Linked DNA regions of Elephas maximus indicus. The protein of the gene in region 4 purifies or fractionates together with the protein of the main gene of each other region. This does not show direct contact. Links are inferred from orthologs where the notes say so. Each region holds a gene or a part of one and is shown on either strand. Other genes may lie near its edges. The genes, in order: ACAD9, NDUFA13, ECSIT and TIMMDC1.

Region 1 (7,466 bases), on a different chromosome or scaffold from region 4:
CTTTTCTGCTGACCCTGTACTCTGCCAAGCATGATATCTTCTCCAGGGACTGATCTCTCCTGACAACATGTTCCAAGTATGTAAAATGCAGTCTCACCATCCTTGCTTCTAAGGAGCATTCTGGTTGTACTTCTAAGACAGATTTGTTCATTCTTTCGGCAGTCCACAGTATATTCAATATTCTTCGCCAGCACCACAATTCAAAGGTGTCAGTTGTGGATTGAATTGTGTCCCTCAAAAGTATGTGTTGCAAATCGTAGCCTTATGCCTGTAGTTATAATCTCATTTGAGAATGGGTTGTCTTTGTTATGCTAATGAGATAGGATTAGTATAGGGTGTATCTTGAGTCAATCTCTTTTTAGATATAAAAAAGATTAAACAAGCAAGTGAAAGAAGTAGAGATGAGGAAGACTGATGCCAAGCCACATGGAGATCTCCAAGGAACCAGGAAACAGAGCTGAAGAGACAAGAACTTTCCTCCAGCGCTAACAGAGAGAGAAAACCTTCCCCTAGAGCCAGCACCCTGAATTTGGACTTCTAGCCTCCTTAACTGTGAGAAAATAAATTTCCTTTTGTTAAAGCCACCCACTTGTGGTATTTCTATTATAGCAGCATGAGATAACAAAGACAGAATTTGGTACCAAAAGAGTGGGGTGCTGCTCTAACAGATACCTAAAATGTGGAAGTGGTTTTGGAATTGGGTAATGGGTAGATGTTGGAAGCATTTTAAGGTGACTAACGGTAAAAGTGGAAACCCTGGTGGCGTAGTGGTTAAGTGCTACAGCTGCTAACCAAGAGGTCGGCAGTTCAAATCTGCCAGGCACTCCTCGAAAACTCTATGGGGCAGTTCTACTCTGTCCTATAGGGCTGCTATGAGTCGGAATCAACTCGACGGCAGTGGGTTTGGTTTTTTGGTAACAGTAAAAGTGGAGCCCTGGTGGTGCAATGGTTAAGAGCTCAGCTGCTAACCCAAATGTTGGCAGTTCAAATCTACCAGCTGCTCCTTGGAAACCCTACGGGGCATTCTACTCTGTCCTATATGGTCACTATGAGTCAGAATTGACGTGACGGCCACAGGTTTTTTTTTTTTAGTAGTAAAAGCCTAGGTTGCCTTGAAGAGCATGTTGGTAGAATTATGCATGTCAAAGGCAACTCTGGAGATGGCTCAGAAGGAGGTGAGGAGAGCCATAGAGAAAGTCTCTATGGTCTTAGAGAATACATATGGCGCCAGCAACAGAATGTTGCTATAAATGTGGACATTAAATGTGCTTCTGATGAGGCTTTAAAAGGAAATTACGGACATGTGATCGGACAATGGAGGAAGGGTGATGCTTTTTATAAAGTGGAAAAGAACTTGTCTGAATTATGTTCAAATGTTTAGTGGAAGGTAGAACTTGATGAACTTGGATATCTGGCTGAGGAGATTTCTAAGCAAGATCTTAAAGGGGCTGTGTGGTTTCTCCTTGCTGCTTATAGTAAAGTGAGATAGGAAAGACATAGACTTAAAAATGAACTGTACAAAATGAAAACAAAACTTAAAGATTTGGAAAATTCTGTTGTACAAATTAAGGGCACATGTCCTAGAATGTTCACCAAGGACGTGGCTACACATCTTTTGTTAAAGAGATTAAGGCCTGTGACTGATGGATCTAACCAACTACCACAGCAGGAAACTCATCAGCTTAGACTGAGGGGTACAGAGAAAGAATGAAAGGAAAGAAGGCTGTCTACCTCTTAGAATTCTACAGGCAGGAAATAGGCCAAAGGAGCTACATCTGTTGTCCTCCAAGAAAAGAAAAGGACCATGCCTGGAGCAGCTTGGAGATCACCAGAACTGTTAAAAGGAGTATGGGAAGCAGGTCCTTCTCAGTTTCATAGGGTGGGGCCACAGCCTCCTAGGTTTCAGAGTTGGATCTTTGCCAGCTGGGTTCTGGAGTGTGGGGCTGACAGTAAGGTGTGCCAGAGGAATGGGGCCACAACCCAAAGCTGAGGAGGCAGGTCTGCCATGCCGAGGGGACAGAAGAATGGGGCCTGCTGGAGCCGAGGGAGTGGGGTTGCCACGCAGACTAGGACTAGGGGAATAAGACTACCCAAATGCGAGTGAGTAGAGTTGCCGTTTCAGTGGGCCTGGAAGGTGGAGTCAAAGCCCAGGGTGAAAGGCCACCACCCAGAATCCAGAGGGCATGGCCAACACCCAGAGTCTGGAGGGCGGGACCATTGCCTCATGGTCTCAAAGAATAGATGGTTATTTTCAAGCCTTGAGGGCTAATGTAAATTTTTTCTAGGTTTGGGATTTGCTTGGTGCCTATTATCCCTTCTTTCCCTCCAATTTCTCCCATTTGTAATGGAAATGTCTATCTGGTGTCTGTCCCACCGTTGTACTTTAGAAATACGTAACTTCTGGTTTAGATTTCACAGGATCACAGATGAAGAAGACTTCTGCCCCAGGATAGAATATGCCTAAAGTCTCACCCATGTTTGATTTATATGATTCTGAAAATTAGATCTTGGACTTGGAGTAGGCAAGCATGCAATTATAAAGTGTGCTAGCAAACCTTTAAAGCTGAAGCACCTGGCATAATAGAATGACTGACATGAAGTCTGAATTAAAACTCCATTTTGTTACAAGCATCTGCTTCTGCATTCCTGAGAATGTAAGCTTGGTGTCTTCCCATTCGTATGCAAATAATCTTGGGCTTCTGGCTGGGTGGAACCAGTAGACCCTGGCCTATCAATCCTCTTGTTTTCGCAGTTATGTGAGTATACCCAATCCCCTTAACTCACATAAACTCTGTTAACCAATCCCAACCAAAGCCCTACCCCCTCCTGCTTGGTGGTTTCCTGCCTCCTACTTAAGAGTCAGAATCACTGGACAGCGAGATGTTCGTTGTTGTTTTCTTTAAACTTCACTAATTGCATGCCTCATAATTAGAATATTATAAACTAAGTTCCTGATTCAACCCTATAACTATGCCCATGTGACTGCAGCTTTTTGGAGAGCTGGTTTTTACTTTGTGAGATCAAATGTGTCCCCAGCTCCTTTGCTATCAATAAATCTTTTTTTCTTAAATATATTTTTAATTTTTTTTTATTGTGCTTAGTGGGTTGGTGATTTTAAGGTGAAAGTTTACAGAGCAAATTAGTTTCTTGTTGAACAATTAATACACATATTGTTTTGTTGTGACATTGGTTGCTAACCCTGCAACACGTCAACACTCTTCCCTTCTGGACTGCCATGCTTTTCAGCTATACGCATCCCCTCCTAATGGAGTCTCTTTTGCTCTTCCCCAAAGCATGCTGGGGATGAATTCGGGATGGACTCAGGCTACCGTACAAGGCTGGGGATGGTGTGACTGGGCCAGTGGCCAAGGCCAAAGAACGCCTTAGCAACAAGAAGGAGAACAGCTGGGCCTGGAAGTGAAGTTCCTGGGAACAGTAATGCCCAAGAACGTGGGAGAAAACAACGAGCCTTTGTCCCAGCTGGAACGGTACGTAAGCTTGTGCCTCCTGCTAGGTGGTTGCAAAGCGCTGAACTGGTCCAGGCACCGCCCTGGGCCACGGTCTGTAAGTAACCTTCGGGAATAAACAGTATGTCATGATCGCTGGTTCCAGAGTTTTTATCTGGTCTCTTGGAGATGCCGCCCACCTTGGGTTCGGGTGCCGCTGTGTTTTTACACAACGTGGACCTTAGGTTTCCCATTTTCATTTGCCCAGCTTCCCTGTCCCCTCGTGCCTTCTCATCCTTGCCCCTGGGCTGGTGTGCCCACTTAGTCTCCTATACAGGTTCAGCTACGGGTGTGTTACTGTTTTATAGGCTTGTCTAATCTTTGGCTGAAGAGTGAACCTCAGGAGTTACTTTGGTACTAAGTTAAAGGAGTGTCCGGGGGTCCATACTCTCGGGGTTTCTCCAGGCTGTCAGACCAGTAAGTCTGGTCTTTTTCAATAAATCTCTTTACTTCCGTTTTAAGCAGAGTAGTCATTGTCACGCGAGGAGAGAAGCAAAACAAAATGAACCCCCATGTATCTATCACCTACTTAAAAAATGCAATATTATCTGCACTGTGAGCGCCCCTCCGGTGATAACCAATTTCGTGTCTTTTTTCCCCCACTCCTTTGCTTTTTTTTTTTTTTTTTTTGCTTTAGGGTCGCTAGGAGTTGGAATTGACTCCACGGCAACGGATTTTTTTTTTTTTTTTTGCTTTAGTTTTACCTTGTACTGCTTGCCCCTGCCTCAGGAAGAGAGGCAAGTGGAGGCAGTTGGGCCGCTTCTTAAGCACCTGGAAGACTCTCAGGGCTGAGGGTTACGCAAACAACCGCTCGCGTTTGAAAACAAAACCTTCCCGGGGGCCCCCAGCAACTAACGTGAGAAGCCGCCCATTGAGGTGATCCCCAGCCCACTCGCCCTGCCCTCCCCTGCGGCCCAACGCGGCGCATGCGCACTGGCGACCGGCGGCGCCTAGCAGGCCAGTGGCGTCATCAGGCGGCGCGATCCCGCGCACTTCAGCCTGAAGCACTGAGGAAGAGGTGACACTGGTAGTCTGAGCGACTTCAGGCAGCATGAGCGGCGGCGGACTCTTCCTGCGCGCGGCGGCGACGACGGCGACGGCGACGGCGCGTGCCTGCCGGGCTCTGGCGGCCTTCACGGCGAGCCGACGCTCGCTGCGCACCAGCCCACCGAGCCGAGGTTTCGCCAAGGAGCTCTTCCTAGGCACAATCGAGAAGGTAACGCCCACCCTTGCTCTCGGGCCCCCGCTTTTCGCCCTTAGCAGGAAGACTGGGGTCGACGTGTCAGAGCCCCCAAACCTGCCTGACAAGAATCACCTCGGTGTGGGGTGTTTTAAAACTCCGGATTCCCGAGTTCCACTAGCAGTCCAGCGCTTTAACCACAGCGCCACCAGGGCTTGTAACTCTCCTTTTATAGTTGGAAGACTTGGATTTGGCCTTGACTGTTTTTTGTAACTTTAGCCTTCGTTCTTTCAACCTTGAAATGGAACTAGTGTTGTCTCTACGTCACAGATGTGCTGTAACGCCCCAATGAAATATATGGTGCATGAAAGTGATTTTTAAACTGTAAGATACTCTGTTTATTTTTTTTAATGTTTTTAAGATACGCTGCAGATACAAGAGGCAGCAGAGTAAGTAACGCTGGCTTCAGTACTTACTAGTTTTGTCACTTAACGCCGCTGTGCCTCAGTGTGCTTATCTACGAAATGGAGTAAAAACAGTACTCATCTCCTACTAAAGGTGCCTTGCAAACCAAAAAAAAAAAAAAATTTGTATGAAGTGCTTTGAGCAAGACTTGGTCCAAATGTTGGCTGGTACTGTATCACTTAGTTCCTGGTTTGTCATTAGAACAGTCCTCTAAGTTTGTCAGACCTTTATACAGACATTGCAGTTGCAGGAGCTGAGACTCAGACTGAGAGTGGTTTGCCCCTCTAGGAAATGCAAAGCTAGGTCTTTAAAATTTGGAAAACCATTTTCCCCAAAACTTGGGAGTATGTGGTGCTCTGTCCTGGGACCTCATGCCTCCCAGAAGCATGGTGAGGAGAGAACACACATCTGTCATGTTTCTTTCTTCAAACCTCTGCCACCACCTCCCGCATCCTCACTCTCAGCTTTGCTGCCCGTCTCACTGAGAAAATACATGTAGTCAGATGAGAACTTCCATCACCACATTTGCCCTCTCCTCCCATCATGTGTGTCCACATCTTCTACATTCTATCACTTTGGATGGCTACTAGCAAAGGCCAACTCATCTCTAGATGCTATGCCTTCTCACCTACTCAAGGACATTGATCCAGAAATTCTCTCCTTTCTCATCTGCATTGTTGTGGATTGAATTTTGTCCTTGCCAAAATATGTGTTGAAATCCTAACCGCTATACCTATGGATGTAATCCTGTTTGGCAATAGGACTTTCTTTGTTGTGTTAATGAGGCCATACCACTGTAGGCTGTGTCCTAAACCTAATCACTTCTGAGTTATAAAAAAAGCAGATGAGACACACATGCACACACGGGGGGGGGGGGGACAGCATGGGACAGATGCCATGGGGGGGATCATCAGAGAACACCTAGGGGTACTGACAGGGAAGGAATTGACATGGCTGAGATCCTGATTTGGACTTTAACCTCCAGAACTGTGAGAAAATAGATTTCTGTTTTTTAAAGCTGCTCTGGAGCCCTAGTGGTGCAGTAGTTCAGAGCTTGGCTGCTAAACAAAAGGCGAGCAGTTTCAATCCACCAGACGCTCCTTGGAAAATGCTACAGGGCAGTTCTGCTCTGTCCTGTAAGGTCGCTATGAGTCGGAATTGACTTGATGTCAATGGATTTTTTTGGTTGTTAAAGCTGCCCACTTGTGGTATTTCTGCCACAGCAGTACTGGGAAGCTAAGACATGCATCATCAGTTTTTCCCTCTCCACCGGATCTTGAGCCCATGCCGTTCGGGCATTTGTCCTGAACTATCTATGGTATACTAAAGCTGCTCTCGGGAAGAACAGCAGTGACCTCCACATTGCCAGATCTTGTGGTCTGTTCCTGGTTTTCATCTGACTTGACCCATCAGTGGCATCTGACACATTTCATCACTCCCCCCTCTTTGATAGACCTTTTCCACCCGTTTTGTTGTTAGTTGCCATCGAGTTGATTCCACCTCCAACAATGGAACAAAATGCTGCCTGGTCCTGCACCATCCTCACAACCACTCTTGTGCTTACGCCCATTATTGCAGCCACTGTGTCAGTCCGTCTCATTGAAAGTCTTCCTCTTTTTCACTGTCCCTCTGCTTTATCAAACATGATGTCATTCTCCAGGGACTTGTCTCTCCTGGTAACATGTCTAAAGGATGTGAGATGAACTCCTACCATCCTTGCTTTTGAGGAGCATTCTGGCTGTACTTCTTCCAAAACAGATTTGTTCATTCTTTTGGCAGTTCGTGGCATATTCAGTTTTCTTCGCTGACACCGTAATTCAAAAACATCAATTCTTTTATAGTCTTCCTTATTCATTGTCCAGCTTTCACATGCATATGAGGCGACTGAAAACATCATGGCTTGAGTCAGGCACACCTCAGTCCTTAAACTGACATCTTTGCTTTTTAACACTTTAAAGAGATCTTTTGCAGCAGATTTTCTCAGTGCGATGCGTTGTTTGATTTCTTGACTGCTGCTTCTGTGGGTGTTGATTGTGGATCCAAGTAAAATGAAATTCTTTACAACTTCAATATTTTCTCCTTTTATCATGATATTGCTTATTGGTCCAGGTTGTGAGGAGTTTTGTTTTCTTTATGTTGAGATGTAATCCGTACTGAAGGCTGTGGTCTTTGATCTTCATCAGTAAGTGCTTCAAATCCTCTTCATCTTCAGCAAGCAGGGATGTGTTGTGTGCATATTGCAGGTTGTTAGTGAGTCTTCCTCCAATCCTGATACCACATTCTTCTTCATACAGTCCAGCTTCTCAGATTTTTTG
Region 2 (7,090 bases), on a different chromosome or scaffold from region 4:
TGCCACTAAAAGCACCCGTGATAAAAGCAAAAATAGATGCACTGGACCTCATCAAATTAAAACCTTTGTGTTGCAAATGATACCATCAAAGAAGTAAAAAGAACCCCCAGAGATAGAGAAAATATTTGAAAATCATATACCTAATAAGGGAAGAAAGATACTCGAGTGGCCAATACAAACAAGAAAAAATGCTCTATGTCATTAGTCATCAGAGAAATGCAAATCAGAAACACAATGAAATTTCACCTCACACCCACCAGGATGATGACAATCAAAACGTCAGATAATAAGGAGTGTTGTTGAGGAGGTGAAGTTAGAGCTCTTGTGCATTGCTGGTAGGGATGTAAAAGGGCGCAGCCCCTCTGGAAATAACCTGGTGGATCCTCACGATGCTCAACGTGGAGTTACCATAGGATCCAGCAGCCCCACTCCTAGGTATATTCCCATGAGAATGAAAATGTAGGTCCACAGAAAAATGTATCCACAAATGTTCATAGCAGCACTGTTCATAACGTCCATTCCTGATGGATAAACAAAATGTATCCATATAATGGAGCCACATACTGTATTATCCACTAACGTGAAATGTCCAAAAAAAAAAAAAAAAACAAACCCAAACCTGTTGCTCTCGACTTGATTCCGACTCATAGCCACCCTACAGAACAGAGTAGAAATGCCCCCATAGGGTTTCCAAGGAGCGGCTGGTGGATTCAAACTGCCAACCTTTTAGTTAGCAGCCGAGCTCTTAACCACAGAACAGGCAAATCCACAGAGACAGAAAGTAGGTTAGTAGTCACCACAGGCTGGGGGTGAGGGTGGGGAATAGGCATGACTGCTAATAAGCACAAGTATTCTTCCTGAGAGGATGAAAATCTTCTAAAATTGACTGTGGAGATGGTTGCATGTATCTGTGAAGGTACTAAAAACCACTGAATTGTACACTTTAAATGGGTGAATTCTATGGCATGTAAATTATATGTATCTCAATAAAGATATTAAAGACACAAAAATAAGAAAAGGCTCCAACCTAGACTGAGGAAGGAGTAGAACGTTGGGGTAAAAGAGACGAGGAGTGGAAAAGGGGGTGGAAGTCACTTTAGAGCACTGGGGAGCAAAGGGGAGGTGCCTGGGCAGCCTGGCACGTTCTAGCCACTGTTGGGCAGTGGGTGTCAGGCTCAGGGCCACAGGGTTAAGACAGGAGCAGGGAGGGTGGGCTGATGGGAATGTGGGCTGTGGGGATGGAGAACAGACCTTTATACTTGCTGTGCCTCCCTCCTGGGGGCTCCTCCTCAAAGTGGCGCTCCCTGCCACCCTGGCTGACACAGGCCTCTTATCCTCAAAACTGGAAATTCTTGTGCAATGGTATCTGTCTCCTCAGCTAGGCTGTGAGCCCTTGGAGACAGGGCTGAGGTCTGAACAGGGCCATGAAGCAAGGACAGATGGGTGAGAGGGCCCCAGGGAAGCTGCTGCCTCATAAAGAAGACCACACCACCGGAAGAGGTATCTTCCTCACCTCTCACGGTGTGGAAAGACCCAGGTGAGCCTGCATGTTCTACAGGAAACACTGGTGTACTGCGATATCATGAACCCGAAGAGGTCCATGGTGAAAGGCACATTTGGGACTTAAAAATGGGAGATGTGGACTAGGGGGAACAGGAGGCCCATGGGTCTGGTCCAAGTCACACAGGTGCACATTATCCCAATACACACCTGAGGGGGTCTAACAGGCTGGGTGCTCAGTTACCCCTCAATAAAAGAAATATGGAGGCTCTCATCACATCATAAGGAGCACTGGTGGCACAATGGTTAAGCACTCAGCTGCAAACAGGAAGGTTGGCTGTCTGAATCTACTCAGAGGCTCCGAAGAATAAAGACCTGGTGATTTGCCCCGGTAAAGATTACAGCCTAGGAAGCCCGATGGGGTAGTTCTACTCTGTCACATGGGGTCGCTATGAGGCGAAATCAACTGGATGGCACCCGACATCATGTCATAGTCTGTCAACCTGTTCTAGAACTAGAATCTTAGGCATACAAGTGCCCCTGGGTCAAATAAAGCCTATAGCCTGGTCTTGTACGGCCCTTGGGCTAAGAACGTTCCTACATTTGTAAACCGTTGTGAAAAGGTAGCAGGGACAGGGACTCCGTGGTCAGCAAAGCCTAAGATATTTACCATCTGGCCCTTTCCAGAGAAAGTTTGCCCACCCCTGTTCTAGGATACAAAAACCAAGAAGGAATGGGTCAAGGGAAAGACTCACTCTTCCACAGTCTGAATTAACATTTTTTTACCACGCCTGCTAATTCCTTTCCCTTTGTTTAAACAGAAACATAATTTGCATACAACTACATGCACAGGTTTTAAATGTAAATTTTGATGAATTTCGGCAATTGTATTCACCCTTAAATTATGTTTTAAATTTTATTTCTGTTAACACTGGGTGCTGAGTGTGGCACCTTTTACTTTTTCTGTGTTGAACCCAATGTAAAATATTACTTACAACATTTGAAAATTCAAGAACACAGATTCCTGGGCCACCCTATAGGACATTCCCTGGGTTTCGGCCCCGACTGACCCTGGGGGAGTCGCAGCCTTTCTCAGGCAAGTTTCTCCTCCTTGGAAGCCGGAGCAAAGCCAAGGGGCCAGGGTCACGGGTAAGCCACCCTCAGTTTACCGTCTGTAAAATGGGAGTAATTAACGGACTGACCTCTTGGATTGTTAAAAAGACACAAATTGCAGCACATATGATCGTTATTACTGAAACTATGGGGGATCCTGGGACTCCATCTCCCCGCAGCACAGCCGGGAAACTGAGGCCCGCTCGCCGTCCCGTCCCCGCCGCGGGGGCCCGAGGGCCCCAGACCTTGACACCCCGGCGCACGGCGACACTGACCCGACAGACCCCGACGGGGCAGGTTCCGCTTGTAGTCGATGGGGCCGTAGCCCCCCAGCGGGGGCATGTCCTGCTTCACCTTCGCCGTCGCCATTCTACCAGAGTCCTACACTTCCGGCCGTGGGCGGAAGTTACGTACCAGGCGGTTGTCGCCGTCATGATGAGTGTGGCGGAAGTTCGAGAGGTTTCTGACAGGACTGGGGCGCTGGTTTAGCCCCTGGATGGCGCGGAGCGTCGGGGCGGCGGAGCCTGGCTCCAGCAGCGCGTCTGAGTCCTTATTTACCAGACTGGGCGTTGGGGCGCCCTCATCACTGTACTAAAGGATCTCGGGTTCACCTTCCCTCAGGGCTGCAGCGCGGACTGTCAGGAACCCCCAGCCTCTTGCTCCCCAAGGAAGCAGGTCCCAGAGTCAAGCCCCTTCCCCGTTTTCTCCACGTCAGGGGAATCTGCGGGCAGCCCAGGACTCCCCATGGCCATGGGGCGGGGGGTACACGGAGTGGGAGGGGAAGGGTCCGCTGTTAGCCGAGGTCGGACTCACGAGGAGGCGCCCAGATCCCAGGCGCGGATTTTGCTCCCCAGTGTGGTCGAGACACCCGGCTAGGGGCCGCTTCTCCGGAACTGAGCCGTTCCGGGCGATTGTGAGTCACATAGTATGAGGGGCTTGGGCGCCTGCGGGGCACGGCTCAGGGGTACCCCCCCACCCCGCGGCAGGGTGACGCCTGCGGTCACTTCACAAGGCAGAAATTGTTACCGCGGCAATAAAAGGCGCCGCGGCGGCAGGGGTCTGGGAGTGGGCACATGGGGGTACGGGGGTGCAGGTGCCAAGCGCCATGGGTTAGGCCCGAAATCGGAGTCCGGCCGCCCTCCGACAGCAGCCGCCTCCTGCTCCCCACGCGCCCCGGGCGCCACCATGTCGGGCGACAAACTCCTGAGCGAACTCGGCTATAAGCTGGGCCGCACTATCGGAGAAGGCAGCTACTCCAAGGTGAAGGTGGCCACGTCCAAAAAGTACAAGGGCACAGTGGCCATCAAGGTGGTGGACCGGCGGCGCGCGCCGCCCGACTTCGTCAACAAGTTCCTGCCGCGCGAGCTGTCCATCCTGCGGGGCGTGCGGCACCCGCATATTGTGCACGTCTTCGAGTTCATCGAGGTATGCAACGGGAAGCTGTACATCGTGATGGAGGCGGCCGCCACCGACCTGCTGCAGGCGGTGCAGCGCAGCGGGCGCATCCCTGGCGCGCAGGCGCGCGACCTCTTCGCGCAGATCGCCGGCGCCGTGCGCTACCTGCACGACCACCACCTGGTGCACCGCGACCTCAAGTGTGAGAACGTGCTGCTCAGCCCCGACGAGCGCCGCGTCAAGCTCACGGACTTTGGCTTCGGCCGCCAGGCACACGGCTACCCCGATCTAAGCACCACCTACTGCGGCTCGGCGGCCTATGCGTCTCCCGAGGTGCTGCTGGGCATCCCCTATGACCCCAAGAAATACGACGTGTGGAGCCTGGGTGTCGTGCTCTACGTCATGGTCACCGGGTGCATGCCCTTCGACGACTCGGACATAGCCGGACTGCCCCGGCGCCAGAAGCGCGGCGTGCTTTACCCCGACGGGCTCGAGCTGCCTGAGCGCTGCAAGGCCCTGATCGCCGAGCTGTTGCAGTTCAGCCCGTCGGCCCGACCCTCGGCCGGCCAGGTAGCGCGCAACAGTTGGCTGCGGGCGGGGGACTCCGGCTAACCGCCGGTGCTCCCGCCCTTCGTGCCGCCCCGGCACTTCGTACGCGCGGCGCACGCGCGAGGGACGCGCTTCGGAACCCCGCAAAGCCGCCGCCCGCCACTGCGCACGCGCCCTCCCCTCTCCTCTCCCCTACGGCTACTAAGCGAGCTCCTCCTGCTCAGTCACAACCTAGAGAGCGGGAGGGCAAATGCGCGGCCCCGGCTCCCGGCACGAAGGCTCCTGGAGGGGGCGGGGTGCAAGGAGCCGAAGGCAGTACGCCTGCGCGGAACGAGCGACGGCTAAGCTGAGGACGGCGCGCGCCCGAGGACCTGCGGCAAGCAGACACGAGTGCGCGGCGCCCGTCCCCAGCCCACCGCGGGCGCCAGGGGGGCGCAGGGCGCCCTGGGCCCGGCCCCCCCCGGAATCTGTAATAAACTCGCTCGTCCTCGCATCTGGCTCTAGCCGTGGCCCATTTTCGGGGCAGGGTGTGTCGCTCCCCTGGGGGGAAGGGCAGGCATGGGAGATCCATTTTCGAGATAGGCAAGTCGAGGCTTTTGCTGCAGGCCTCAGTGGGGAGTTGGGCAGATTCAAAGCCAGCTCTTCGGGCTCTCCAGCCTGGGCAGGATCGAGGGGGGTGTGAGATCGTGCTAGCGGTAGTGATGGTCCTGGGAATGGGGATGCTGGGGGGCTCACTGGACGGAAGGGGAGGGAGGAGCTCCTGTTGATACGCGGACCGAGCCTTTACGGATGAGGAAGCAGGCCGACACAGCTGTCACTTGCCCGAGAACACAGCTGGGATTCGAACCCCATCAGTCTGAAGCGGAGCAGCCCTGCTTGGTGAGAACCGCCCTCTCCAGGCCAGGGGGAGGAGAGTCAGGGCTAGGGACTGGGCATGGGTCCACTGGTTCATTCAGACTTGGTTCACTCGCGTATTCGTGCATTTATTGAGGTTGGGACTCAGCAGAGATGCTTGGACCCATCTGAAGGAGGCAGGTGGAAAGTAAAAACAAAAGGAAAGGCCTGGAATAAGATGATCTTAAATTGTGCTAAATCGGGCAGGGCAGTCCGGGAGGGACCAGGGTGATGACATTTGAGCTGAGCCAGAAGGAACCAACCTGGGAAAGTTGGGAGAGAAGGTGAAGAGGGTTGCATCTGCGGCGAGGGACTCTACAGGGCCTGGGGAAGTTTGGGTTTTATTTTGCCTACGATGAGGTTACTGGGTTTGGTCACAGTGGCTGTCTGGGGTGTGTGGCAAGCGTCTCCCTAACCCTGATCCCTCCTATCTCTTCCATCTGAAACCCACACAGCCCCTAAGGGAGCTGCTGGACTTGTGGGTCTATGTCCCACTCCTGCTCACTCACCTTCCACGGCTCCCTGGAGCCCTGGAGATGGAGTACTAGGCCCCTCCCCCCTTAAATTTTTAGGTTGTGGTCCTTTTCACCCCATTTTGCAGATAACTGCTGCCCAGTGGGGATAGGCCTTGCCATCAGAGGGGGGATCCTGGCTGAATCTCATCAGAGCTGAGAGAAAAGACCGGGCCCCTCTAGTTAAATTTGAAGGGCCCCTCATCCAGATCTGAGTCCCTGGGTGGCACAAACAGTTAAGCACTAAACTACTGACTGAAAGGTTGGTGGTTCGAACCCACTCATGTGACTTGGAAGAAAGGCCTGATTAATCCTCCAAAAGGTCACAGCCTTGAAAACCCTATGGAGCAGTCCTACTCTGTACACATGGGGTCACTGTGAGTTGGAATTGACTTGATGGCAATTGGTTTGGTTTTGGTTTTCCTCAGGGACCTGGGCCATGTCTCTGGCTCCTCACCTGGAAACAAGTGCAGGAACCGGACCACAGGGTTGTTGGGAGGGGGCCTGTCTCACCAGAGATTCGGCAAGAGCCAGACCCCTCCCAGGCCCCCACACACTCAGAATAAAACTCACTGTCTCTCCTGGTCCAGCCACACTGCCCTCCTCGCTATTTCTCCACCCGCCACATGTGTTCTCACCTGAACATGGCTGTCCTCACTCCCTTTAATACCTCCCCATCTTCATTCAAGACTTGGCCTCAAAGTCATCTCCAGCCTGACACTCTGCTCTCCCTCCTTGTCCCCATCTAAAGGTGTGATGATGCTTCCATCTGTTGTCACTGCCCTGCCCCTAGCACCCAGGCCCTTCACTGTCCGTACCTCCACAGCGCTCGTGAGCAGAAGGGCCAGGATGTTAGAGGGGGCAGGGTTGCAAGGACTAGGGCTGGTGCCCCATTTTGTAGGTGGAGACAGTGTGGCCCAGAGTGTTCAGCCTACTGGAGACCGTGGCCCAGACTCACCCAGGGATCTGCCCTGGTCTTTGAGGAGTTTGGTGCCTGACCAGGGAAGGCCAGGACTCAAATCCATCCTTAGGAAGAGTGAGGTCATGGGGCTGGGCCCCTAGAAAACGTCCCATAAACGGAGGTGGACAGGCTTGGGTGTGGTTTCTGCTGTCTGCAACCAGCTCTT
Region 3 (7,534 bases), on a different chromosome or scaffold from region 4:
CTCATATAATGAGTTGGGAAGTGTTTGAATCATTCTTATCACCATTTAAACCTGTTCTAGCATCTCCCATCTTGACCCCAGGTCTCCCTCCAACCTCTGTCCCACATATCTGCTCCCTTTATAGCAAAATTTCTCCCCAGAGGTGTCTACACACTACAACTCCATCCTCACTCTCTCTAACCTGGCTGCTCCTCCAACCATTCCAATGAAATCTCTCTTGTAAAGGCCTCTGTGTTTTATATCTTATAAAGGCTACGGTTACTTCTCAGGACTCCGTCTTGCTCAATTTCTCAGAAGCACCTGGTACAAGTGACCTACCCTCCCGCCTTTTTCTCAACACTCAGATATTTTCTTGGTTTACTTTCTCTGTTTATCAATCAGCAGGATACATTTCCTTCTCTAAATTTTGCAATGTTCACAAGTGCTTGAATATGCAGATGACTCATCTGGGATCTCATTAAAGTGCCAATTCTGATTCAGCACATCTGGGCTGGGGCCAGAGACTCTGCACATCCAAAACGCTCCTGGATGAGGCTGATGTGCTGATCTGGGGACTACACTTTGTGTAATGAGACTGCAAAGAATTTCACATTGTGGATTTGTCTGCTTGCTTCCCTGCAGTGTCATTTCACTTGTTCCTCTCATCTTTGTATTTCCTATATACAGCCCTGGTGGTTCTCAAACTTTGTTCATATTGGAATCTTTTAGGGAGCTTTAAAAAACTCCTGTGCCCAGGAAAATGCAGAACAGTTTCAAATTCTCATGGACTCCAGACTTTCTGGAGCCCTGGAGGCTAGATGAACCCCTGAAACTAGTGCCCTGAGATAATCTTTGAACCTTAAACCAAAAATATACCCTGAAGTCTTCTTAAAACCAAACAGTAGTTTAGCTTAACTAGTAAACAATGTCTGCCTTGAGCATTGTGCTCTTTTAAGATCTATCTATATGGGGTCAAATTGACAACAGCAACTCAAAAGATTAGATAGGAGCCTTTGGGGGGGGGCAGTGAGTTGATGTTAATGCAGGAGGAACAACTCAGAAAGGAGGGTGAGAATGGTTATACAGTTTGAAGAATGTAATCAACGTCACTGAATGCAATCAACGTTATTGAATTGTACATGTAAAAACTGCAGAACTGGTGTTATGTTTTGCTATGTGTATTCTCAACAACAAAATAAATAAAATTAAAAAAACAAATTCTCATGCCCAGGCCACACCCCAAATAAACAAAATCAGAATATTTGGGTGTGGGGCCCAGGCACCAAATTTTTAAAGCATACCAATGACTCTAATATGCAGTTAGGATTAAGAACCGCTGCTCTAAATCCTTGCTATTCAAAGTGTGTTCCAGGGATTAGTAGCTTCAGCATAACCTGGGAGCTTATTAGAAATGCAAAATCTTGGCCCTAATCCACACCACCTGCTGAATCAGAATGTGTGTTTTAACAAGAGCTCCAGGCGTCTCCTGTGTGTATTAAAGTCTAATAAGTGTTGACCTATGCGCTAACAGCTCTGAAATGTTTATCTCCAACACCAGCCCAGAGCACCAGCCTCGATACCTAACTGCCGCTTTGATGTACACCCAGCCATCTCAAACTTAACTTGCTCCAAACTGGTATCGCTGCTTAAGCTTGTTCCTCCCCATCACAGGCAATGGCACCACCATTCCTAGTTACTCAGGCCACAAACCTAGGAGTCAGCTCTGAGCCCACCAAGTTCCTCACTCCCCCATTCAATCCATCAATTTGACTATTCCCAAATTGATTCCATATGCATGCATTTCTCTTCATTCACAGGCCATGACCCCAATCCATTGCCTCTCCCTAGGCACCTACTCAGCCTCTCCCACCTCTACCTTTACCTGCCTCCAGTCAGTTCTCGTCACTGTGGTCAGAGGAATTTTTTTTAAATGTAAGTTATTTTTAGTGCACTCTGCCTAAAATCAGGAATGGTCTAAAACCCAAAACGCTTTGCTGTGGAGTCGATTCCAAATCATAGCGCTCCTATAGGACAGAGCTTCCAAGGAGCAACCGGTGAATTTGAACTGCTGGCCTTTTGGTTAGCAGCCATAGCTCTTAACCACTAAGCCACCAGGGCTCCAATGTATATCACACGCTTAAAATAAAATCCCACAGGGTCTACTCTTCCAGCTACACTGTTTCTTAAACAAGCCAAGTTTTATTCGTCTCAGGATCTTTGCACTTGCTTTTCCCTCTGTTTGGAACGAACTTTCCCCAGACCTCCCCAGGGCTGTCTCTGGTCATTCAGATTTCCATTCAAATGAGACGCCTCCCTTGACCGCCCTGCCCACCATCTAAAAAGCCTCCATTACCAAGATTAATGCATTTTCAGCAATGATCAGTAGCTGAAATCATCTGTTTCATTTATTTCTGACTTGTTCAATGTCCCGTTCACCCAGAAAAGACGGGATTTTTGTCTGTCTTGTTCACTGCTGTGTACCCAGCACCTGGGGCAGTGTCTGGTAATGGCAGTTGCCCAACAACTATCAAATTGAAAGGAAATAAGATCTAAATTTCTACAAAACCTCTATAAACCTGAACCCCTTGAATGGGTGTACGTACAGCAGCGCTGCGGCTGGCTGCCAAGATTCTGCGTCTCAAGAACAACTGGCAGACACGGGTTCGAATTCTCGCCTGCTACGGACTTGCAGCGTGATCTCGAGCGAGGGCCTTAACCTCTTTGAGTCTCAGTTGTCTTATCTACAAAATGGGAAATAAAGTATGTGAGGCTGCGGGAGCGATTTCCTCTACGTCCCCGCCCCGCACTTCAAAAGGTCATGGCGCTGTAGGCCTGCAGATGGGTCCCTGTGGGGCCGCCCTTCCGCGTTCCCGGACCCGGAACGAGCCACCCCGGGGCCTAGGAGCTCTCCCTCCCCCTCCAACGCGTGACCTACCTCCTCATGAGGCCGGCCGCGGCCACCGGACCGGTTCTATCTTCCAGCTGGGCGCCGCCATATTGACCCGAAGAGCTTCCGGGTTACCGTCTCCTCTCCCCGAAAAAAAAAAAAAAAAAGCAGCAAATCGTGAAGACCAGTTTAGAGATGTTCCGCCTACCTTGGGAGGCCCACCAATAACGAGCCAGGCCCCGCCCTTAACAAGGCAAGCCGCACCCTCCACCTGGGAACCGTGAACTATGGCTGGGGAAGGAGTGATTGAGCCGGTCCCAGACTGGGAAGCTGGACTTCGGGGGACTGTGATCCCAGCCTAAGCCTCCGGTATTCCCTCCTGAGACGCAGAGTTGAATTATCAACTTATCAAAGTTGGAAGGGATGTGAATTCCTTCTTTCCCTCAACAAACATCCATTGAGAACTCACTGTGTGCCAGCCACAGTTCTAGGCCCTGAGCATACAGCAGCGAACAAAACTAGAGTGTCACAGCGCTGACACTAGTGGAAGAGACAGGCTCTGCTAATCTAGGTCCATGATTCTGGGCAAGTGCTTAACCCATATGTCCCTCCATTGTCTCACCTGTGAAATGGGGCAATTATAATAATCTGATAGGGTTGTTTGAGGTTTAATTGAATTAATCCCTGGAGAACAGCCATATAAATTGTTTTGTTATCATGGAGTCCGGTGGCAGTGTTAAGAGCTCAGGCTGCTAGCCAAAAGGTCAGCAGTTCAAATCCACCAGCCACTCCTTGGAAACCCTATGGGGCAGTTCTACTCTGTCATATAGGGTGGCTATGAGTAGGAATCGACTTGATGGCATACAACAACACCACTGTTATCATGCGGGATTCACCCTCAGCCTTCCTCTCCCACCCCACCCCCCCAACCCCCTCTTCACCCCACTGGGACGAAGGAGTCTGGTTTGACCCTTGGGCCACCCTCATTGAGGGCTGAGGGTCGTGTGGGGCTGTGTGTGTGTTCATGAATGTGTCCTGGAACTGTGGGAGGAGGAATGTCACTGCAATGTTGGAGTGGTAGTGTGTGTGTGTGTGGTGGGAGGGGGTTGTGCATTTTGTTGTATCTCCAAACTCAAGCAAAGGCGTGTAGGTGTATGTGCGGCTGTGTGAGTGTGGGTCAGGGGTGGTGCCCAGGCCAGTCTGGGCATTGGTGTGTGTGACAGCATGTCATAGTGAGTGTCTCATGGGTTCTTGTGTGTTTGTCAGTAGCTGCATGTGTGACTCTTAGTGTACTAGCTTCTGGGTGTCTGTGACTCTGTGCGTGTGGGAAGGGGGATTTGCCCCACAAGTCAAGGGGCTGGCAGTATGTGTGTCAATGTTTCTGTGATTGTTCCTGTGCCTTAATGTGTGTATGACTGCATGTCTGAACACCAGTGGATAAATGACTGTATTTGTCACACTGTATGTCTATGACTTATGCATACATGATTGTGTCCCATCATCGGAGTGCATGTGACTGTGTGTGATACCCCAGATCGGTCACTCTGGGTGTGATTGTATGTCTAATTACAAGTGAGTGAGTCTGTGATTCTGTGAGTGTGTGGCACACCATGTGTGTGATTTTGATTGTGTTTCAGCAATGGTGTAACAGGTCTGACCATGCCAAAGTCTCTGATGTTGTGGGACTCCATGTGTGGTTGTGTTCCAACCAGTGTGTGTTTGTTACTGTGTTTGTGACACTCTGTGTGTCCTTGACTTGTATGTGTGTGATTGTTCCTGGCCATTGACTTCTACGGCACTGTGTATGTCTGTGATGATCCTGGTTATAAGTGTGTCTCAGTGATTCTGTGACTGTGTCTAGCTATCTGCGTGTGGGCTGGTCTATGTTTGTGACAATAGTGTGTCTCTAGACTCCTTCTGTGTATGAGTGTATATCTGACCACAGTGTGGGGTTGTGACTGTGTTTGTAGCACTCCGTGTGTATCTCTCTGCCTGTGGTTATGTGTCTGATCCCCAGTACCTACCCAGGGCTGGCTGTATCCTGAATGTGTGACCCTGTGTGTGTGAGATTGTAAATATGGTGTGGGGACGGCACCTGATCTCTAGTTTCACAGGGGGAGAGGAGAATCAAGATCAACAGCCCAAGGCTGATTCCTGCGAGGCAGAGGTCAGACATGCCTCCTCTCTCTGGCATCTTTACCAATTCTGACACAACAGTCTCTCCCATAGCACTCTCTACTTCTCTGCTGCGTTCGATAATTCATTGCAATGGCCAGACAGAACTCACAGATAATAATCATGATTATGGGGTTTATTAGGGAAGTAACAGGCTCAGGAACACATAGGATACAGTTCTTCCATCAAGACAGTCTGTTCCCAGTCATGCCACTGCTTTTCTCTGCCTCTTCCCTGCTCAGGCAAGTGTCACAAAGCTCTTTTAGCTCTGCCCGAAGCGTCCCCAGGCACCCCACTCCACCAGTAAGCCTCAGCCAGAATACACTCAGCGCTAGCTCCATGGGTCGGCAAACATAACTCCACCAAGTGCTTGGAGGCATCCTATTCTGCCACCAAGCTTCCTGCCCAAAAGCACTCAGCTTTTTTGCTCCGTGTGCCGGGAAGCCCACTGTGCTGTCCCTGCCAGTCTCTCCTCTGCTCTTTCTCTGCTACCACTTCTCACCATCTTCAGTATTACAACTCTGACTGTCTCCTGGTTCCAGAAGTTTCTCAGTGCTGTAGGGATCCCTGGTCCAAAGGACACACTCTGCTCCTGGCTATTCTTCCTTGATGGTTGTGAATGAGATCCTGCCTTTGCCTGGAACTGGCTCTCTTTTAAGCCTAGTGGGATGGCAAAACTGACCACAATTACCTTATCTGTACAGTTCCAACCAAGTATTGGGTGGGAGTTACAAGACCATGGTGAGAAAGGCCACACAAAAGTGATCCCTCGCACCACAGAGACACAGTGCCTGGGTCCCTGGATGTGTGCCTCTGCTCCCCCGTGTGCACCAGGCAGATCCCCAGATTGTTGCCTTACCTTGGAGCATGGCGACATTGGAGGTGGTGCAGCTGGCATCTGCCTCTCTGGCTGTAGGAGCTGGGCAATCAGGAAGAGGAGGTGACTGGGGTGTGTACGTGGCCACATCCCTGCCCGTACCTGTGGCCCCCATGGTTCTGATTCCTGACTTCATTTTGATCAAATGAGCTCCAGGGCGCTCAGCCCACACCTGTTCCTCTTGCCCACAGAGCCTTGGACCCACACAGACACCTGAGTGGGAGTCCAGGTAGCTGGGTGGGGGGGGCTGGGGGGGCATGAATTAAGTAGAGGTGTGGCCAAACTTGCCCCTGACCATTAGCGCTCTGGCCTGTACAACTTGTTCTCTGTACAGGCCATCTGTATCAATCCCTGCTCTGTAAGAGTCAGCTGGGCCCCCATGGATAGACCCCTCTTCACCCCATTCCTACTCCCTGCTTCTGGGCAGGTGGAGAGCCGGCAGCACTGCTGGAGGGTGTCCAGGTGAGAAAGGGACCCCTCCAGGAAGTTTCCCAGAGTAAGGCTGGTCCCACTAAGGAGCCTCATGTGCCAACACACAGTTTCTCTCTACCCCAGCCAAGTGCAGAGCTGAGGGCCTTGACTCCTCCATGCCAGGCCACCAGCTGCACTGGCCAGATCAATCCAGGGTGAGGGTCAGTGGGTCCCTCGTTCCCCTCACCTATAGACTGTGGCTGATGTTTCTGGTTATCTGCTGTATGGTAGGCAGGTAAAATTTGGCTGGGTGGGACTGGGGGTCACACCCCATCCCCTTCCCACCTCTGACCACTGCCTCACCCTAGACCTGGTGCTGATTCTCTGCAACAGGGAGATCAGATGTTCCTGTGTTACTGTGCACCTTCTCTGGCTTCTACTGCTTCCTATAAAGACCCCTGAGACACCACAAGCTATCTCCCCACCACCCCGCCCATGTGTACTGTGTGCTAGGTTATGGAGTGCCAGTTTGAGAGTCTAGCAGATCTTGGCTGAGTCCCAGCCTTGCCCCTCATAATTGGTGTGTCCTTGGGGATGTGACTTTCTCTCACTGAGCCTCAGTCTTTGCCTCTGTAAAATGGGGATAATGAAAGCATCTCATAAGGCTGTTGTGAGGAGGAAATGAAACAATGCAAATAGGTTAGCACAGTGCCTGCTTATAGTAAGCACTTGTCATGGATTGAATTGTACCCCCCCAAAAAATATGTGTCAACTTGGCTAGGTCATGATTCCCAGTATTGTGTGATTGTCCACCATTTTGTCATCTGATGTGATTTTCCTATGTGTTGTAAATCCTACCTCTATGATGTTAATGAGATTAGAGGCAGTTATGTTAATGAGGCAGGACTCAATCTACAAGATTAGGTTGTGTTTTAACCCAATCTCTTTTGAGATATAAAAGACAGAAGGAGCAGAGAGACGGGTGGACCTCATACCACCAAGAAACTGGAGCCAGAAGCACAGCGTGGCCTTTAGACTCAGGGTTCCTGTGCTGAGAAGTTCCTAGTCCAGGGGAAAACTAATAACAAAGACTTTCCTCCATGTTGACAGAGAGAGAAAGCCTTCCCCTGGAGCTGGCACCCTGAATTCGGACTTCTACCCTCCTAAACTGTGAGAGAATTTCTTTTTGTTAAAGCCATCCACTT
Region 4 (7,698 bases):
GCATTAGTACTTGCATTGTTATTACTCTGACACAAGCCCTCTCAACCCCATGACCTAACTAAATGCTAAGTGCTAACTAAATTACCGTGTTCCCAAAATACTATTAAACTACCAGTACATACCACAGCATCAAGCTGGTTATGATAAATTTCTGCTTGGCTCTGCTCAACGTAGCGTCGTCTAGCATGAATAAAACCTGGAATTCCCCCATATGCAAAGCCAATGATGCCTGCTGAAATCGCTGCCCTATAAATACTCTGAAGTTCTTCAGCTCTCCGCCATTCACTAAAACACCAAAAAGACAATGTTGTTTGGGGTTAGTTTATGGATATTCCTCTCCAAAACACACAATGATCAGTTGTTATCCCGAATGCTAACACCACCACATAAATATCTTTTTTATCACGGGTTGAATTTATTAAACCCTCTGATGAATTCAATAGTGCAGTTATATTAAAGGTAGCTCAAATTTAAGGCAAAACTAGTCTATGCTGTTAGAAACTAGGAGAGTGGTTAGTCTTGGGTAGGTAGTGACTGGGAGGGTGAAAAGGGGAGCTTCTGGTAGGCCAGTAATAGTCTTATTTGTTTCTGGGTATTGGCTATACACGATTTTCAGTCTGTGAAAATTCATTGATTAGTACTGGTATGTACATTTTTCTAAATGCATACTACATTCCAACAAAAACATTTTTGAAAAGTTGCTCTTCTTTGTTGACTATTACCCCTAGACCACACCCCTAGAAACAGGAAGAATTTGTGAGTTGGATGTAGAGACCAATATTTTCCTTCTTGAATGTCAAACTAACTTTTAGAAATTCCACAGATTCATGGGATTTTAGGACAATGTCTGCAAGAATAAAAACCTGGTATTTAAAAAAAAGCGTTTGCAGTAAAAAAGCATTAAGAAATCTCACTACGCAGTGGGCAACACAGAGCAATTTAAAACAAGGAAACGCTGCTGTTTAAAAATCTGAATTCAATTTATTGCTCCCAAAAGCATAAGAAAATAGAACCGAAGATATCCTTAGAATTGCTCTAAAAAAAAAAAATCACTACATTTTAAGTGTTAAGTTACTATAAATCATGGCTTTCCTAGGTAAGTAAAGTACTAAATGTTACTTGTAATTACTAATTTGCTTTCTTCAGAGAACTGTACAAGTGCTTATTTATGTCTCATTGTCAATAACCACAAAACCTCTGAAACAAGAATCAGTCTGTACAGTTTCTGCAACAAGAGAAATTTAAATAAAATCTCTTAGAAAACTAATTTTTATAGTTACATCAATAGGAAAAACAGCTATAATTTGAACTATTTTATATAATGAATAAGACAGTATATTTACATTAAAACTGTTACCGATGGTAGGGCTCACAAATGTAAAGTTTAAGATTTAATAGACCAGAAGATGTATGTACTTTGCCTCTTTTTCACCCTCTGAACAATTATTTACCTCCACTTTACAGATGAAGAAAGAGGCTTTAAGAAGTTACATGGTTGGTCCAAACAACTAGTGAATGGTGGAGAAAAAAAAAGGCAGCATAGCAATGGAGTCTAGGCTACAATCTAGACTATAAAATAAGGTGGTAGCCCTGGTTCTGTCACTCCACTGCTAAGTGACATGCAGCCAGGATCAGAATCTCTCTGGACCCTGGTTTCCTAATCTACGATATAGAGGAAAGCATGAAGGTACACTAGATTATCTTTTGTTTCTTTAAGCTCCAACTTCCGTGGTTTATACATATGATCAAAATAACTGTCATTGGTTACATACTACACAAGGTCTTTCGCAAGCATCGCAGATATTGGAAAGACCAGAGAAATGCTGCCTCGTTATGTTTAAAATAAAGATGAAACTTAAATACCTAAAGTAATTGAACGAAACACCACCAGCTTCCCTGTCCTCAACTATCTCAGCAACGTTAATAAAGCTTCAGTTTTAATCTAGTCAATTGAGAAAACTGAGTAGTACGGTAAAGTACTTTATGAACGCTGGTCCAGAGCACAGTTCTCACCAGTAAGTAATGAATGAATACATGAATGAATGAATGAATGAACTATTCTGAGTTTTTTATTAGATAAAATGAATTAATTCAATTTATTGGGTTATCTTTTATTTTTAAATCATATCCTTATTTTTTAATTCAGTTAATTTTTTTTTAATAAAATGACGAGAATAGTTGCCACTATTTTTTATTCCTTATTTGCAAAATAAAAATTTGACACCCTCTCTGTTCCCTTCCCAACATTCATTTTGGGGGGGGGGAGCGGTTACAGGTCAATAAATAACCTCAGTTTGCGATCAACTGAAATGCAAGAAATAATACTGGAAGGGGCGGGTTCCAGGGTCAACTCTGCCACTAACTAGCTTGGCACAACTTTTCCAGTCTGTAAAAGGAGGAGACTACACCAAAAGGTCTTACTTTTAACGCGTCTGACCCTTACTATTTGAAAATCGGTCTGTTTGTCCACCTCCGAATGGCAATGTCAGAACACACGCTCAGGGTTCAAATATCAGAACCTCAAACCCATTCAATAATACAAACCACACCACCCGGGGGTCCCTGTCCCAGGGTTACCCGGGGGTCCCTGTCCCGGGGTTACCCAGGCTAAAACACGCCTCCTTCGCGTCCCCTCCCCACAGACCCTAGGCACTTTTACTCTTTAACAAACAGCTTCCGGAGGCGGTCCCATCCAGATTCCGGGCCATGGGGTTCTGGGAAGTAAGGAGACAGCTGTCCCTCTGCGGGAGCCTCGGAGTCGGGGACCCCAGCTCCGGCAGCAAAGACCCGGGGGAAAAGACCGAACGCCCTGCAGAGACAGCTCTGTGGCGCCATCGGAGGCTCCTCCATAGCCCTCTCCGGACCGGCGGACAGACACACCGGGGTTTCAGGACCCCAAGGTCGCCCGCAGGCGCCTCGGGAGGAGGGCGAACCGCCACAGAGCTCCACGGCTCGGTGCTCAAAAGCCCGACCTGACTTCGGAAGTCCTTGGAACACGAGACAGGAAGTCCTGCCCCCACCATGGCAAAGGTCAAGGGGCGGGGCAAAGGCGGAGCCCGAATTGAAAGCACCTCCTGGTGGAGGCGGGCGGGGCTCGTAGCCTTCCCAGGCTCTCCCCCGGAAGTGAATGGGCGGTGCCAGCTGGAGCGCCCACGCCGTCAGGCCCCGCCTGGGCCTGCGGAAACCGGGTCTAGGGCGGGTTCTAGTCGGCGAGGCGTGACCATAGGCTGAAGTAGTTCAGCGTACTTAAAACGCCAGAAATCTCAGGAAGGTTAAGAAGTGCAATAGGCAATGCAAGTGCAGTACGGGGAGAGAAGGACGCTGGTACAACGCGGGAATCCTTCCGGGAGGCGGGCCCGTCCGTCTGTGTTCTGTCAGTTCCGGTTTCCGGAAACGGGGGCGGCATCGAAGGCGGCTCACGGTGGCCGTTACACCGGCATTTCCAAAACACGTTTTTCTTTTGAAGAATCAGTTTTTGGCAATTCTTCACAGGGTGGATTTCACTTCCCTTAGTTTATCTGCTTGCCGCTTTTCCAAAGGCAGCATGTTCTCTGGAGTTCCTATCAGGCGTTTCATAGCCCAGCAGTAACTGCCTGTCACTACAGTCTCTGCTAACTTAGGTTTCAAAGTATCGTTTTTATCCATATGCATGCATTTAAAATAATCTCAAACTGGTTTGTGTAATTTCATTGAATCCTTGCTTGGCATCAAACATACTCTTTTTTAGATAGGATGCAAACACGTGCCACCAGAGTGGATAAATTGCCCCGTTCCTTAGTAAAACAAACAAAAAAAAAACCAAACCCACTGCCGTCGAGTCGATTCCGACTCATAGCGACCGTATAGGACAGAGTAGAACTGCAGTAAATCAAATTCTGGAACTTGATAACCGGAAATTCTATAGATGAGGCCCAGAGACGTGATGATTCAGGATTATGGGGCTAAATGAGTGCCAGAGCCACCAAGATTTCTCTGGTGTCAGGGAGACAGGATTAGACTCAGTACCCATCATAGCGCTTACTACACTGCATCACGTTTATTTCCTGATCTTAGTAGACTTATTTTTAGGTCAGAGACACGTTTATTCATCTCGGTCTCTCCAGGACCTACCTAGCACGGTGTCTGGCACGTGGAGGTTCAGTGAAGAATTCAGATCCCCTACTCGTGGCCCTGGCTCCAGGATGCTGCAGGGGTAGGCACAAGGATAAATCCCAAGGCCTGAAAGCCCCCCAAAATGGCTGTGCAATCTTTCTAGCCTACATGCAGAAAAACGTATGCTTAAGATGACCTCAGAATCACTCGGGGGTGAGGGAGGACCTGAATTGGGGAAGGGGGAAGAGCAGAGCAGACACTAATGAAATAAGTTATAAAATTCCCCGGTATTCACTAGCCTGTAGGTGAGGCCGTGGTAACAGGCAAATTTCACTAACGCCATCGCTGCCTTCTGGAGTTAGTGACTGGAGACTTACTTCAAAGGTTCTCTTTGCCATTTTGTACCTCAAGAAAGTCCCCGGGCTCTTGGCTACTGCTCACACTGTTGCTGTTCCACCTCAGCACTTTGACTGTCACTTCCTCGTCACCGTTACAGGACCTCCAGGTCTCCTCGTCACAACACTGAGGCATGAGTAAGACAATAGCGAAGGAAAAAGAACCTCATTTGGTTGGCCAAGCAAAGGAGCTCACCAGGACCTGTGTTGCCAAGATGACTCCCTGATGAGCATGCACGGGGAGGGGGGGGGGGTTGTATATATGGGGAGGAAACACATCAGGGGTAGGCTTTTCTTCAGGGTGTGTTCAGGGGCGTGGTCCATCAAGATTGGTGGACAGCTCCTGTAATGATGCCTAGTCATCAAGTCGGAGACGCTGCCCTGGGGCCCTGATGGACGGGGAAATGGCAGCTTAGCTCTGCCGGGTGGCCATGCAAAGGCTTATCACTTTATCACTTTCCAACTCTCCAGCTTCTCTAAGCCTCTAGGGAAGCGGCTTCTACCACTAGGGAAATACTACCTTTCCTCCGTGGTCTGCTCTTTCTGAAGGGTACCCATTGCTGTTAAGCCAATTGCAACTCATAGTGACTCAATAGGCCAGAGTACAACTGCCCCGTAGAGTTTCCAAGGAGCGACTGGTGGATTTGAACTGCCAACATTTGGTTTGCAGCCCAGTTCTGAACCACTGCACTACCAGGACTCCTTTGAAGGGTATCACGGCAAAACTATTTAAGCCAAAAGGTACTATGGGGTTTAGCCGGGCCATTCTGTGTTTCACATACAGCTCTCTCTTTCGCAGGGTGTGCATTTACCAGCAGAGAAACTGCGACAGGGAAGAATTTCAGTACAGTCACCCGTGAAAGAGGACTCTAAAACGGAGGCACTTGACGTCACTAAAATGGCTGACACAGGTCTGAATCAGACTCCATTTTGCCCTAGCCCGTGCATCTGCTTTTTAGAGTGCCCTGACGCATGACCACACTCTTGACCAAGATAATTTGCTCTGCAACGTTCTGAGGTCCCTCCCCCCACCCCCCCAGATTGTTGCAGGAACCAGCTCTGGAGTGCAGGAAACAGAGGCTGAGTACCCCAGCCAATAGGAACTCTTGGTAAATTAGTCTCATGGAGTATGTTTAATGTCAACCAGTCTAATGTACACCGTACCCTTTCCCAACTCTGTACAGAGTTCTGCAAAATTGAGTATGAAGAACCTGTACTTGTGCTCACTTTTCGGAAACGCCGTTTTGAAATTTCATTTTGGCCCTTCTCTATTTGCAAATCTTTGAGTCTGAGTAACTCTTATTTTACAGAAACTTTTTGTTTTTAATACACCACACTGTACCTGGAACCACTGCTGTTTTTTTTATCCTCAGCACCTGTTGCTCAGTCCTACTCAGAGAACTGTCAACGGCTTCTCCATAGTAAATTTTCTCCCAGGGGCTAGCATTTCCCCTTTCTCTGCCAGGTTCTCCAGGTACAGGCCTTGCTGTACATATTTTCTTGTATTGTATGTGATATAAATTATATCCACAGGTAGAGAGAATGAACTTTGAGGGTTCCACGGACACTTCATTTACCCATCCTTCAAAGTGTAACTCAATTTTTACCTCCATGAAGTTTCCCATCTGCCCCAGTTGGAAATTTCCTCTAAACTTCAAATCCGTATTGTATTTATAAATCATTGGTCCTCATGTCCCCTTAATCACATTCAGCTTATGATACTCTCACATTGTTATTTACTCTACCTCAACTACAGAGTCCCTTGAGGTTAGAGAGCTTGTTATAAACTTCTTATATCCCACTGTTGGTGCACAGTAGAAGTTCATGAATTCTCTGACAACTATTGAATGAGTGATTTGTAATTGTACCCCTCTGCCCCACCCCGATCACCTTACCTCTCAATGTAGTAGGATTATTTTAGGTGAAGGCATCTTCAGATGCATAGGAAGATAGATTTTATGTATTTGTGTGTGCTCTTGTTTATAATCAGCCTGGGGCAGAGTAAGTTAGTCTGTTAGCTTTTTTTTGTCTTGGGAATTTTGGGCTGAGTGACAGAGCCCGGCGCTCTATGAAACTTCAGTAGAACAGCCCTCGAGAGACTGTCCAAGACTCTTGTTGCGATTCCTGGATTGCCCTCATCTACCCTTTCGATGGCATGAAATGTATTTAGAGTCTCCAAGATGCCTTCATATCCTTCTAGTAAGTTCTTTGCTTAAACTAGCTGGAGGCAGCTTCTGTTCTTGGCAACTAGGAGGACCTGACCTAACACAGTAGACAACATCACAGAAACGATGCCCCCAAAATAAAGGAAAAGCATTAACTGTGTTACCCAAGCATCCCACTTCATTCAAATACACCAAATTATTCTTTCTTCAAAGAAAAATGTGGCCTTCAGCTCTTTGGGGAAGAAAGGGTATGTCTGGGACACAGCTAGTATTAACGACAACAACAAAAAAGCTCTCAAGAGTTATGGGGATACAAATTATTTCCAAAAACATGTATTTTACGTATTTTACACACCATCCTTATACCATCTACACTGAGGTAAACAGATAAACAAGTAAAAAATATGAATAATATTTTCTGCATTTAAATACAAAGACACCCTTACTGACTCGTCATAGGGAAGGTCAGGATTTGCATTGATCCAATTCTTACAGTGTTGTCCAACCCCCCCTAGAGCCAATGGCCGGGCAATTAGTAAACAGGGATCTAGTTAAGCCAGCCATCTCCATGCATCCATCCATCCCTCTACCCATCCAAAGGTTCTTTAGTATCTACTGTGTGAGGCATTGTGCTGGACAATGGAGACATCAAGATAACTACAACATGATTCCTATGCATCAAGAAGTCAAGTAACTATAGCACAATGTGATATCATATTATATAGGCATGAGCTAAATATTCTGGTAATCCCTAACTGCCTAGAGGAGTAAAAGAAGGGCTTTAGAGAGGAAGTGTTGTTTGGGCTGGAACTTGAAGCAAAATGGGAAATACCTCCAGAGCAATGCTGTTTCACTCCTAATCCAAAGAACGGCAAACTTTGCTACTATTTTAGCGAGAGGAAACTGAAAATACAGAGACAATGAGAACACCTACTAGGGCCTCATAGCGACAAGGCAAAACCACAGTACAGTACAGCTCAGAAATACACAGTGCCTATCCACAGACTTATAGCACCTAAGGACACAATCCCTGTGAATTTTTAATA

What was found.
Region 1: the proteins of TIMMDC1 (region 4) and ACAD9 purify together in Homo sapiens (affinity purification with mass spectrometry; 3 studies listed by BioGRID and IntAct, counting the BioPlex papers as one, with this or other methods). This does not show direct contact. The link is inferred for Elephas maximus indicus from reciprocal best matches to the Homo sapiens genes TIMMDC1 and ACAD9.
Region 2: the proteins of TIMMDC1 (region 4) and NDUFA13 purify together in Homo sapiens (co-immunoprecipitation; 3 studies listed by BioGRID and IntAct, with this or other methods). This does not show direct contact. The link is inferred for Elephas maximus indicus from reciprocal best matches to the Homo sapiens genes TIMMDC1 and NDUFA13.
Region 3: the proteins of TIMMDC1 (region 4) and ECSIT purify together in Homo sapiens (affinity purification with mass spectrometry; 3 studies listed by BioGRID and IntAct, counting the BioPlex papers as one, with this or other methods). This does not show direct contact. The link is inferred for Elephas maximus indicus from reciprocal best matches to the Homo sapiens genes TIMMDC1 and ECSIT.

What each region holds. Positions count from the first base shown.
Region 1 is NC_064838.1:41,144,623-41,152,088, forward strand, and holds the start of ACAD9 (complex I assembly factor ACAD9, mitochondrial), read left to right. Parts: upstream 1-4,454; 5' UTR 4,455-4,557; coding exon 4,558-4,722; intron 4,723-7,466. UniProt on the Homo sapiens protein: As part of the MCIA complex, primarily participates in the assembly of the mitochondrial complex I and therefore plays a role in oxidative phosphorylation.
Region 2 is NC_064821.1:39,275,550-39,282,639, reverse strand, and holds the start of NDUFA13 (NADH dehydrogenase [ubiquinone] 1 alpha subcomplex subunit 13), read right to left. Parts: upstream 3,004-7,090; 5' UTR 2,983-3,003; coding exon 2,889-2,982; intron 1-2,888. Other genes in the region: TSSK6 (testis-specific serine/threonine-protein kinase 6), read left to right, coding at 3,799-4,620. UniProt on the Homo sapiens protein: Accessory subunit of the mitochondrial membrane respiratory chain NADH dehydrogenase (Complex I), that is believed not to be involved in catalysis. Complex I functions in the transfer of electrons from NADH to the respiratory chain.
Region 3 is NC_064821.1:29,504,017-29,511,550, forward strand, and holds the start of ECSIT (evolutionarily conserved signaling intermediate in Toll pathway, mitochondrial), read right to left. Parts: upstream 3,003-7,534; 5' UTR 2,915-3,002; intron 2,721-2,914; 5' UTR 2,583-2,720; intron 1-2,582.
Region 4 is NC_064819.1:9,882,330-9,890,027, reverse strand, and holds the start of TIMMDC1 (complex I assembly factor TIMMDC1, mitochondrial), read right to left. Parts: upstream 3,007-7,698; 5' UTR 2,851-3,006; coding exon 2,660-2,850; intron 286-2,659; coding exon 123-285; intron 1-122.